2 linked regions of the Xenopus tropicalis genome follow. The protein of the gene in region 1 interacts with the protein of each later gene in a biochemical or structural test. Links are inferred from orthologs where the notes say so. Each region holds a gene or a part of one and is shown in the gene's direction. Other genes may lie near its edges. The genes, in order: fga and fam20c.

The links.
Region 2: of the proteins of fga (region 1) and fam20c, one has a biochemical effect on the other in vitro, tested with the Homo sapiens proteins (2 studies listed by IntAct). The link is inferred for Xenopus tropicalis from reciprocal best matches to the Homo sapiens genes FGA and FAM20C.

Annotation. Positions count from the first base shown.
Region 1 is NC_030677.2:54,516,954-54,520,782, forward strand, and holds part of fga (fibrinogen alpha chain), read left to right. Parts: intron 1-1,494; coding exon 1,495-1,640; intron 1,641-2,375; coding exon 2,376-3,438; intron 3,439-3,829. UniProt on the Homo sapiens protein: Cleaved by the protease thrombin to yield monomers which, together with fibrinogen beta (FGB) and fibrinogen gamma (FGG), polymerize to form an insoluble fibrin matrix. Fibrin has a major function in hemostasis as one of the primary components of blood clots.
Region 2 is NC_030685.2:27,166,097-27,170,378, forward strand, and holds the start of fam20c (extracellular serine/threonine protein kinase FAM20C), read left to right. Parts: upstream 1-1,229; 5' UTR 1,230-2,006; coding exon 2,007-2,569; intron 2,570-4,282. UniProt on the Homo sapiens protein: Golgi serine/threonine protein kinase that phosphorylates secretory pathway proteins within Ser-x-Glu/pSer motifs and plays a key role in biomineralization of bones and teeth.

The DNA of each region.
Region 1 (3,829 bases):
AAATTACAGAAAGATCCCTTATCCAGAAATTCCTGGTCCCAAACATTCTAGATAATAGATCCTATAAATGTATTTATATTTTTACTTTTTTTACTCTGATTTACCCAAGTTTTATCGCCACCATAAATGTCAAATATATGGCAGTCTGGTGTGTGTAGATCAGTCTGCATGCTTTGTATAACTCACTGATACACTATTGTACTATGTACAGGTATATCAGATTCAAAACTAACATGGCAAGGCACATTTACTATTGCTTGAGCCTCTGGGCTGAGTTTCTTTCCAATTAGCAGGGTTTGAAAAAAATTAAAAAACATGCCACCTAAAACTTGTCTTAAGAAAGAAACTCACTTGCCACTTTATAAGTAATATTTTAAATATGGTACTCAGTAGTTATTGGATCACACCACACGTTTAGCAAATGTGTTTAATTTTTTAATTCATGGTTTATATGGTGTATTTTTCCACTTTAAAGGAGAAGGAAAGGCTAAGTCACTTGGGGGTGCTAAAATGTTAAGCACCCCCAAGTGACTTTAATCGCTTATCTTGTACCCCGGGCTGGTGCCCCTGTTAGGAGAAAACAGCACCAGCCCGGGGCACCTGGAGCGAGCGCTTCCTCCTTCCTGCTTCATTTCGCTGCGACTAACACAATAGGCGCATGCGCAGTAGAGTGAAAAGCCGACCTCTCTGTTTGGCTTTTCACTCTACTGCGCATGCGCACGCTCGCAAAGCAGGAAGGAGGAAGCGCTGCAGCTACACCGGGCTGGTGCTGTTCTCTCTGAACAGGAGCACCAGGCCGGGGTAAAAGGTAAGCGATTCAAGTCACTCGGGGGCAACCCCAAGTGACTTTGCCTTTCCTTCTCCTTTAAGTAAGAGCCAACTGTGTGAGGGTCATGATCAATTATTTCTTCTCCCATATTCAGGCACAAACGTATTCATTTAGCCGTGTAATAAATATAAATGTGATAAGATCAGATAAAGTTGATACTGCCTAGTGTCCTATGAAATCCTACGATCCCATTCAGCAGGACATAACTATTGTCATTTTCACCAGAAAGGAAATAGAAACAGTCCCAAAAAGAAGAATTTGTACATAAATGCACAAAAAAAGTGGCAATACAATACAAACTGCCCCAAAGACACAGGTGTACATAATATTTCGCAGTGTTTTTAGGTATAAATGAACATTTGATTATGACAATTATATATAAAATATATTTAAAATTATTGGACATAAGAAAATGTATTCTGCCACATATAAAAGTAAAAGTCATGATGAGTAAAATACAAATTCAATGCATTTGAGGTTTTTTTTACAGTTTTATTCAATCATGTTTCTTAGATTTACATTTTTAACACATTTTTTAAATAAGTAGACATTATTGTAATTGAAGGACAACTCTTAAGTCACAAATTCGAATTTTGATAAATAAGCCTTCCCACACTCAAAATGTGCGCTAAGCTGATAAAATGATTCTGGTTTACCTATTTTAGAAAGCGATGGAAAGTATAATCAAGTGTCTGAAGACCTCAGAAAGAAAATCGAATATTTGAAGCTGAAAGTTTCCAATCAAGTAGAGAGAATAAAAGCACTTCAGAAAAACATCAGAGATCAGGTGGTGGAAATGAAACGTCTTGAGGTAACCAATAAAATTTATCTATCTATTAATCTATCTATCTATAATCACATCTATCTATCTATCTATCATCTGTTTATCTATCTCCTATCTATCTATCTATCTATCTATCTATCTATCTATCTATCTATCTATCATCTATCTATCTATCTATCATCTATATATCTATCTATCACCTATCTATCTATCTATCTATCTATCTATCTATCTATCTATCATCTGTTTATCTATCTCCTATCTATCTATATATCTATCTATCACCTATCTATCTATCTATCTATCTATCTATCTATCTATCTATCTATCTATCATCTGTTTATCTATCTCCTATCTATCTATATATCTATCTATCACCTATCTATCTATCTATCTATCTATCTATCTATCTATCTATCTATCTATCATCTGTTTATCTATCTCCTATCTATCTATCTATCTATCTATCATCTGTTTATCTATCTCCTATCATCTATCTATCTATCTATCTATCTATCTATCTATCTATCTATCTATCATCTATATATCTATCTATCACCTATCTATCTATCTATCTATCTATCTATCTATCTATCTATCTATCTATCTATCATCTGTTTATCTATCTCCTATCTATCTATCTATCTATCTATCTCTTATCTATCTATCTATCTATCTATCTATCTATCTATCTCCTATCTATCTATATACACACACATATATATAAATAATATACTTTTTTCTGTTTTAATGTGTTTTTAGGTGGATATTGATATAAAAATCCGTGCTTGCAAAGGATCTTGTGCAAAGAACACTGACTACAAAGTGGACCATGACAGCTACAACAACATACAGAAACTACTTTTGCAAGCTGAAACCACTGACTTAAATAGCCAAATGAATGCCATACGAGTGCTTAAAATGAGGCCTATTAAGGACTCTCCTGTAGACTCTCGTTATAGAACACTGGCACTTGGCAAAGACCAAGAAGCAGAGTTCCCAATTTTCAAAGACATTAATCAATATGCATTTGTTTTAGAAGGGACAAAAGACGAGGTAAAAGGCTCATCTATGGGAACCTCATCTGTTGTATTTCCTTCCGGCAGTGGGAAAGATGTAGTATTTCAAGGTTCTAAAATTTATGGCGATGACAAAAGTACACAGTCAGGGACAGTGACAGGGGGAGATCAGTCAACCAAAGTCATCACAGAAAGAACAGTTTCATGCACTAAGACAGTTAAGAGGAGGGTAGTATCCACACCAGAGGGCCCTAAAGAAGAAATCACTGAAACATATAGTGGTGGTCCGGAGTGTGAAAAATTAGGAAAATTAAGCACAGATGACACTTTTCAAGGAGGGTCTGATGGAACTCGTGTTATCCACATTTCTGGAGGTAGTTCTTTAGGGGATATCAGTAAGATTCCTTCCTTTGAAGAGTTTTTAAGTTCATCTGGGAAAAAAACACAAACCAGCCAAACCAGTAGCAGTAGCAGTAGTAGTTCTAAGGTAACTCATGATGTTTTCACTGATTTGGGAGAAGATGAATTTGATGACTTTAGCCATACAGGACTTGATTCACCCAGCTTTACACCCCTCCAAAAAGAAGGCTCGTCAACCATTACAAAGACTGTGGTCTCCAGCAGCAGCAGCAGCAGGGGAAGCAGTAAAGATGGCACTCAGTTTGATATTAAATCTATGAAGAGTGGGCCAGTGTTTACCGACTTTGGCCCTATCCAGCACGATAATAGTGAAGAGGATAGGCCTGATTTCCAGGCCCGCACTGTGAGAAAAGAAATGAAGTTGGTTGGAGATTACACTGGGAAAGGTAAATGAAAGTAAAAGGACAGTGTGAGGTTCCACTTTTAAACCAGGAAAAAAATACACATAATAAAGGCAACCTAGCTTCTTTTAAATCATTTCATGAATTCATATGTTTATCGACCGTAAACACAAAAACAGAAAAGAATACACAGGTAGTTTAGGCAGGTAGAGTCTGGGAATTAGGGTTATATACAACTTACACACTTATTTAGTTTGGCATTTTAATTGATTTAAGGCACATATAGTAGCTATCAAAACATACGTGCACATATTATATTTTCCCATATGATATAATATGCATGCCATTTGGCAAAATTGACATAAAACATATTCTTTGCCTAGCAAAATGTAAACTTAAAGCTAATATTGCTAATATTTTATCACAATAAAATATC
Region 2 (4,282 bases), on another chromosome or scaffold:
TGAAAAAAGACTTTTCAAAATCACCCACAACCCACAAAAAAATAACGTTATTGGTAAATGTAACTGAAGTTAAAAGCAGCGTTTACTACTTTCTGTAATAATGTAACAACAGTGAATTCTCCTCCAGCTCTGGTAATCATCTTTATTCTTCTACATTGTTTCAGGAGTCAGAACTAGAAGTGCATGCTGTATCAGTGTTTTCTCAACTCCTTTTCCTCCACATGTGACAGCCTATAACCACTGAGAATTCATAATGAATATATCTTGGAACATTGTTAAAAACTGAATTTTCTTTCATTATTTTGAAAAAATTTTGTGCAAAGGAGCACAGGCCTCTCTTAGCAGTTCCACAGAAGGATTAATTGTATCATATGTGTTTGACATAAACAGCTGGAAAGTATATCTTTATTAGTGATAAACGGGTCAGGGTAAACTCAACCCTAACTGCATAACCTAAGAGTAAACCCATGAGTTGCAGGTCAACCTGCATTTCACTAATCTTTATGGAGTTACTTACCCTTTAAAATCTTAAAACTCTTGAAGTAACCATTTTTATATGTGAAATAGTGATACGAAAATTAGCAAACCTTCTATCTACATAAACTTTTAATTTTTAATTCATTTTAATATAGAATAATATTATTATTGATAATATTATTATTAATATTATTATATTATCTTTACAGTGGCCTCAATGGGAATGGTCCCCGGAAGTCCCCCCCAATATTCCAGAAGCAAAGCAGCAAGCATTCACAGTTAAATCCCAATGTGCAGCCTCCCCTTATTTGTTCATGCTCAGGGCAGGGCAGGGGAGATATTAACCTAATGGTGCTCATAATTCCAGCAAAGAGTGAACACAACCCAGGAACAGCTGCTTTTTAGTTTGCTTATCAGGAGTGAGGAAAGCAATAAATCTTTCTATATACACAGCTTTGCCTTGAGTGCCACCCTATCCCTGCCTGCACCATGATGATGATGATGGTATCCCTGCTATGTGGCTATGAGACATACAGTAGAATTGTTGCAGGAATGATTTGTATAGATCCCTGAGAAGCTGCCGCCCTCTCCTTGCCTTTGCCGGAGCTGCAGACAGACAGAGAGAGAGAGAAAAAAAGCCCCAGGATTTTACTTTTAGCTTGAGGTTTGTCCTGTTCCTATCGCTGTAGCCTTCCTATAGCCAATCTCCTTGTGTGTGACGTGTGGGGGAGGCAGGTTCCAGCGCTTGCACATAATATTTAACACACCCACAGGAGGCTGGAGTTGCTGCGCTGCGAGTAGGGGCAGACTGATGCTTTTTGAACAGAACAGGGGGATTTCACTCTGCACCTGCCAAAGACCTTCCCTTCTGCCTGCTCGCTATCCGCTCTTCTTGCTCCCCGGCCCTCCCCACTGTAAGTGCCCAGGCTTGATAGGAATCAAGGAGACCCATGAATGCCAGCAACACAAGCACCCCCCCAGATCTGCTCTAATCTCTTCCCTGTGTGTGTTGCACTGTTTCAGCAGCTTGTTTTCCAGCCATGCTGAGTGCCAAGCCGGGGCTGCTCCTATGTCTCCTATCCTCTCCTGTGTGACTGCCCTCTCCCTCTCTCTGAATGAGGATTTCTGGATACATTACAGAAGAACCGTCCCAACCCAATGATTCCCAGCTCTGTGCAGAGGCAGCCCTGCAGCTGAAGCCGGGGGTCACTTCAGTGGGGATGCCCAGCAGCTCTATGCCCAGCTCATTCCAACGTTTCGGATTCTTCTCTTTCTCATTTCACTTCTGCTAATTCTCTTCTTCATTTTGTATTATCCATTCCTTTTTAACTTTTAATATTCCCTTTGCCTGCGGACTTGATTGCGATACCATCTTTAGAACCAACAAGGCAAATGGAGACTATTTATAAAGAACGCATTCTCCTTTAGAGCTTGTCGCCGGGGGTTACTCCGTCTACCTGCGCCGCCTTTGGTTTTGGACCTGGTTGTTGGGGGTGGGGGGGTGGATTCTGTATTCATAGAAGGGGAAAATGAAGATGATTCTGGTTCGGAAGTTCAGGGTGCTGATCCTGATGGTGTTCCTGGTGGCCTGCACCCTGCATATCATGATAGATCTCTTGCCAAAGCTGGAGAGGAGATCAGTAAGGAGTGATGGGGAGATGGGGTGCGCCTGCTCTCAGAATCACAATGAGGAGTCCCACCAGCAGGGATGGGGTAAGGTTCGACCCAAGAACACAGGGGAGCCGGGCTGGCCCAACAAGCACACCCTGAGGATCTTACAGGACTTCAGCAGCGACCCCAGCTCCAACCTCACCTCCCATTCATTAGAGAAGCTGAGTGGCACAGTGGACAAAAATGAATCGTTCAGAAAGCTGGAGCAGCAGGAGGGCCCCAGAGACATTGCTGATAAGCAGCTGATCCAGGAAAGGAGTATAAACAAAGCCCATGTTGGCACTGGGCACTCCAGGCTGGCAGCCCTCTTCCAGCACCCCCTGTACAAAAGCTCAGTCCCCCCACTCACAGAGGATGATGTCTTATTTAATGTCAACAGTGATATTAGGTTTAACCCCAAAGCTGCTGAGTCCCAGGACTGGTAGGTCATTTAAAAAAAAATTTATTTATTTTAAAATCGAACCCTGCGGTTCTTTACCTGTATTATACTGTACACTTCTATACCTATGTATTGTTTACTGTATTCCCTCATTGCCTCTGGGAATCCCAGCTATTGCAGGACTACAAGTCCCAGCAGGGAGTGCTGTAGTTTAATAAGAGCAGCAGGCCCCTAAGTTGGATTTAGCCATATGAGCTGTGTCCATATAAACAGGGGGTATAGGACCGTGCACTTACAATCTCATTTTCATTCATTCTGGGTTTCCAAGATAATTTAATTGCTCTATATCACGAGTGGGCATTCCTTACCTGCCTCATTCTCACTAGGCTGGGTTGGCAGGCTTGTCAGAATTGACTGCACAGCCTGCAGGTTTCAAACCCTTGCACTTTATTTGAGCAAACAAAAAGAGCATACATGCATGTATTTGCATAGACTCTTTCCTTATCCTAAACCCCACAGGGGAGTTAATATTTCTTACTAATTCCCCCCATTCCCTAAGAAAAAGGGGGGATACCTGGGCTGCTATTTCAACAAAATGACCATTAATGGTGTAAATTATATATAAATGTATATAAACTTTAAACAAATTCTTTATTGTTTGTAGGTGTACATTTATCTAGTGTATATATAGAAACCAGATAGATAGATAGTGTACTTTCACCCCCTTATACATATAATATACAGACAAGTATACCTGCTGGGCCAGAAGCAATATAATGGAAATAACTAGAAAACATATACCTGGGACCATCTGTTTGTCCCAGGTTTTACACTTAGAATAAGTACAAGTCTAACCTGTATCGGTTTAATTGTCAAGTACTCTTTGCTAAAATAAAGAAAAGAAAAGGTTGTATGTCATTGTAAGGCAAATGGGGGGAGCCGGACTTAATATAATACAACAGCACCCTCTTTCATGCTCAGTGACATTGTGTTGCCCAGAACAGCTGCATTGTTCTTGTCTTTTGGAGACGCTAGATAATTGCAGGATTAAAGACTTAATTAAGGCAGTAAATATATCTTGCATGCAGGGTGCCCCCTTTTCAATAAACAAAAGCCATTTCCTATATTATAGAGGGAACTTAAGGTAGAATATACCTGTATAGGTCATATTAGTGGGTTATATTTTATAATACACTTCTACTTATCATAAAGCACAAGTAATAACAGATGGCAGGTAAATGGAGTAATCAAGTATAATATATATAAATCTGATGCTATCAATGTTATTTTCCCCATTAGATCAGCTAGGCCCAAGGAAACAATGTAACAAGATGTCCAAGGCTTCGATATATTGCAATTAATAATATTAAATGGCTTTATATCGCTGCTGCATTATTACAGCATTACAAAGTCTGTGCTGGGGAAATGCTGGATAAAAAGCATGCTTGTTTAGAATAGATTCACCCACTTGGAATGTTCACCTGTTTCGCCATTACCCAGAATGCATCTGTCAACGCCAAAAAGAGATTGGGGAGCTTTGTGTAATGAAGTCTTTATCTGGCAGAGGCTGAATTGAAAGTCCCATTGCCCCGGGGCAGAGAGAGATAATGGGGTGTGTCACAAGGTACCAAATGAGAAAACAAGCCAAGCATCTCCACTTCTAAATAAAAGTCACCTGATATCATATATTATAGTACAGGCTATTTATGAACACAAAGACCATTAATGCATCACCATTACAAATAGTTTCCTAAT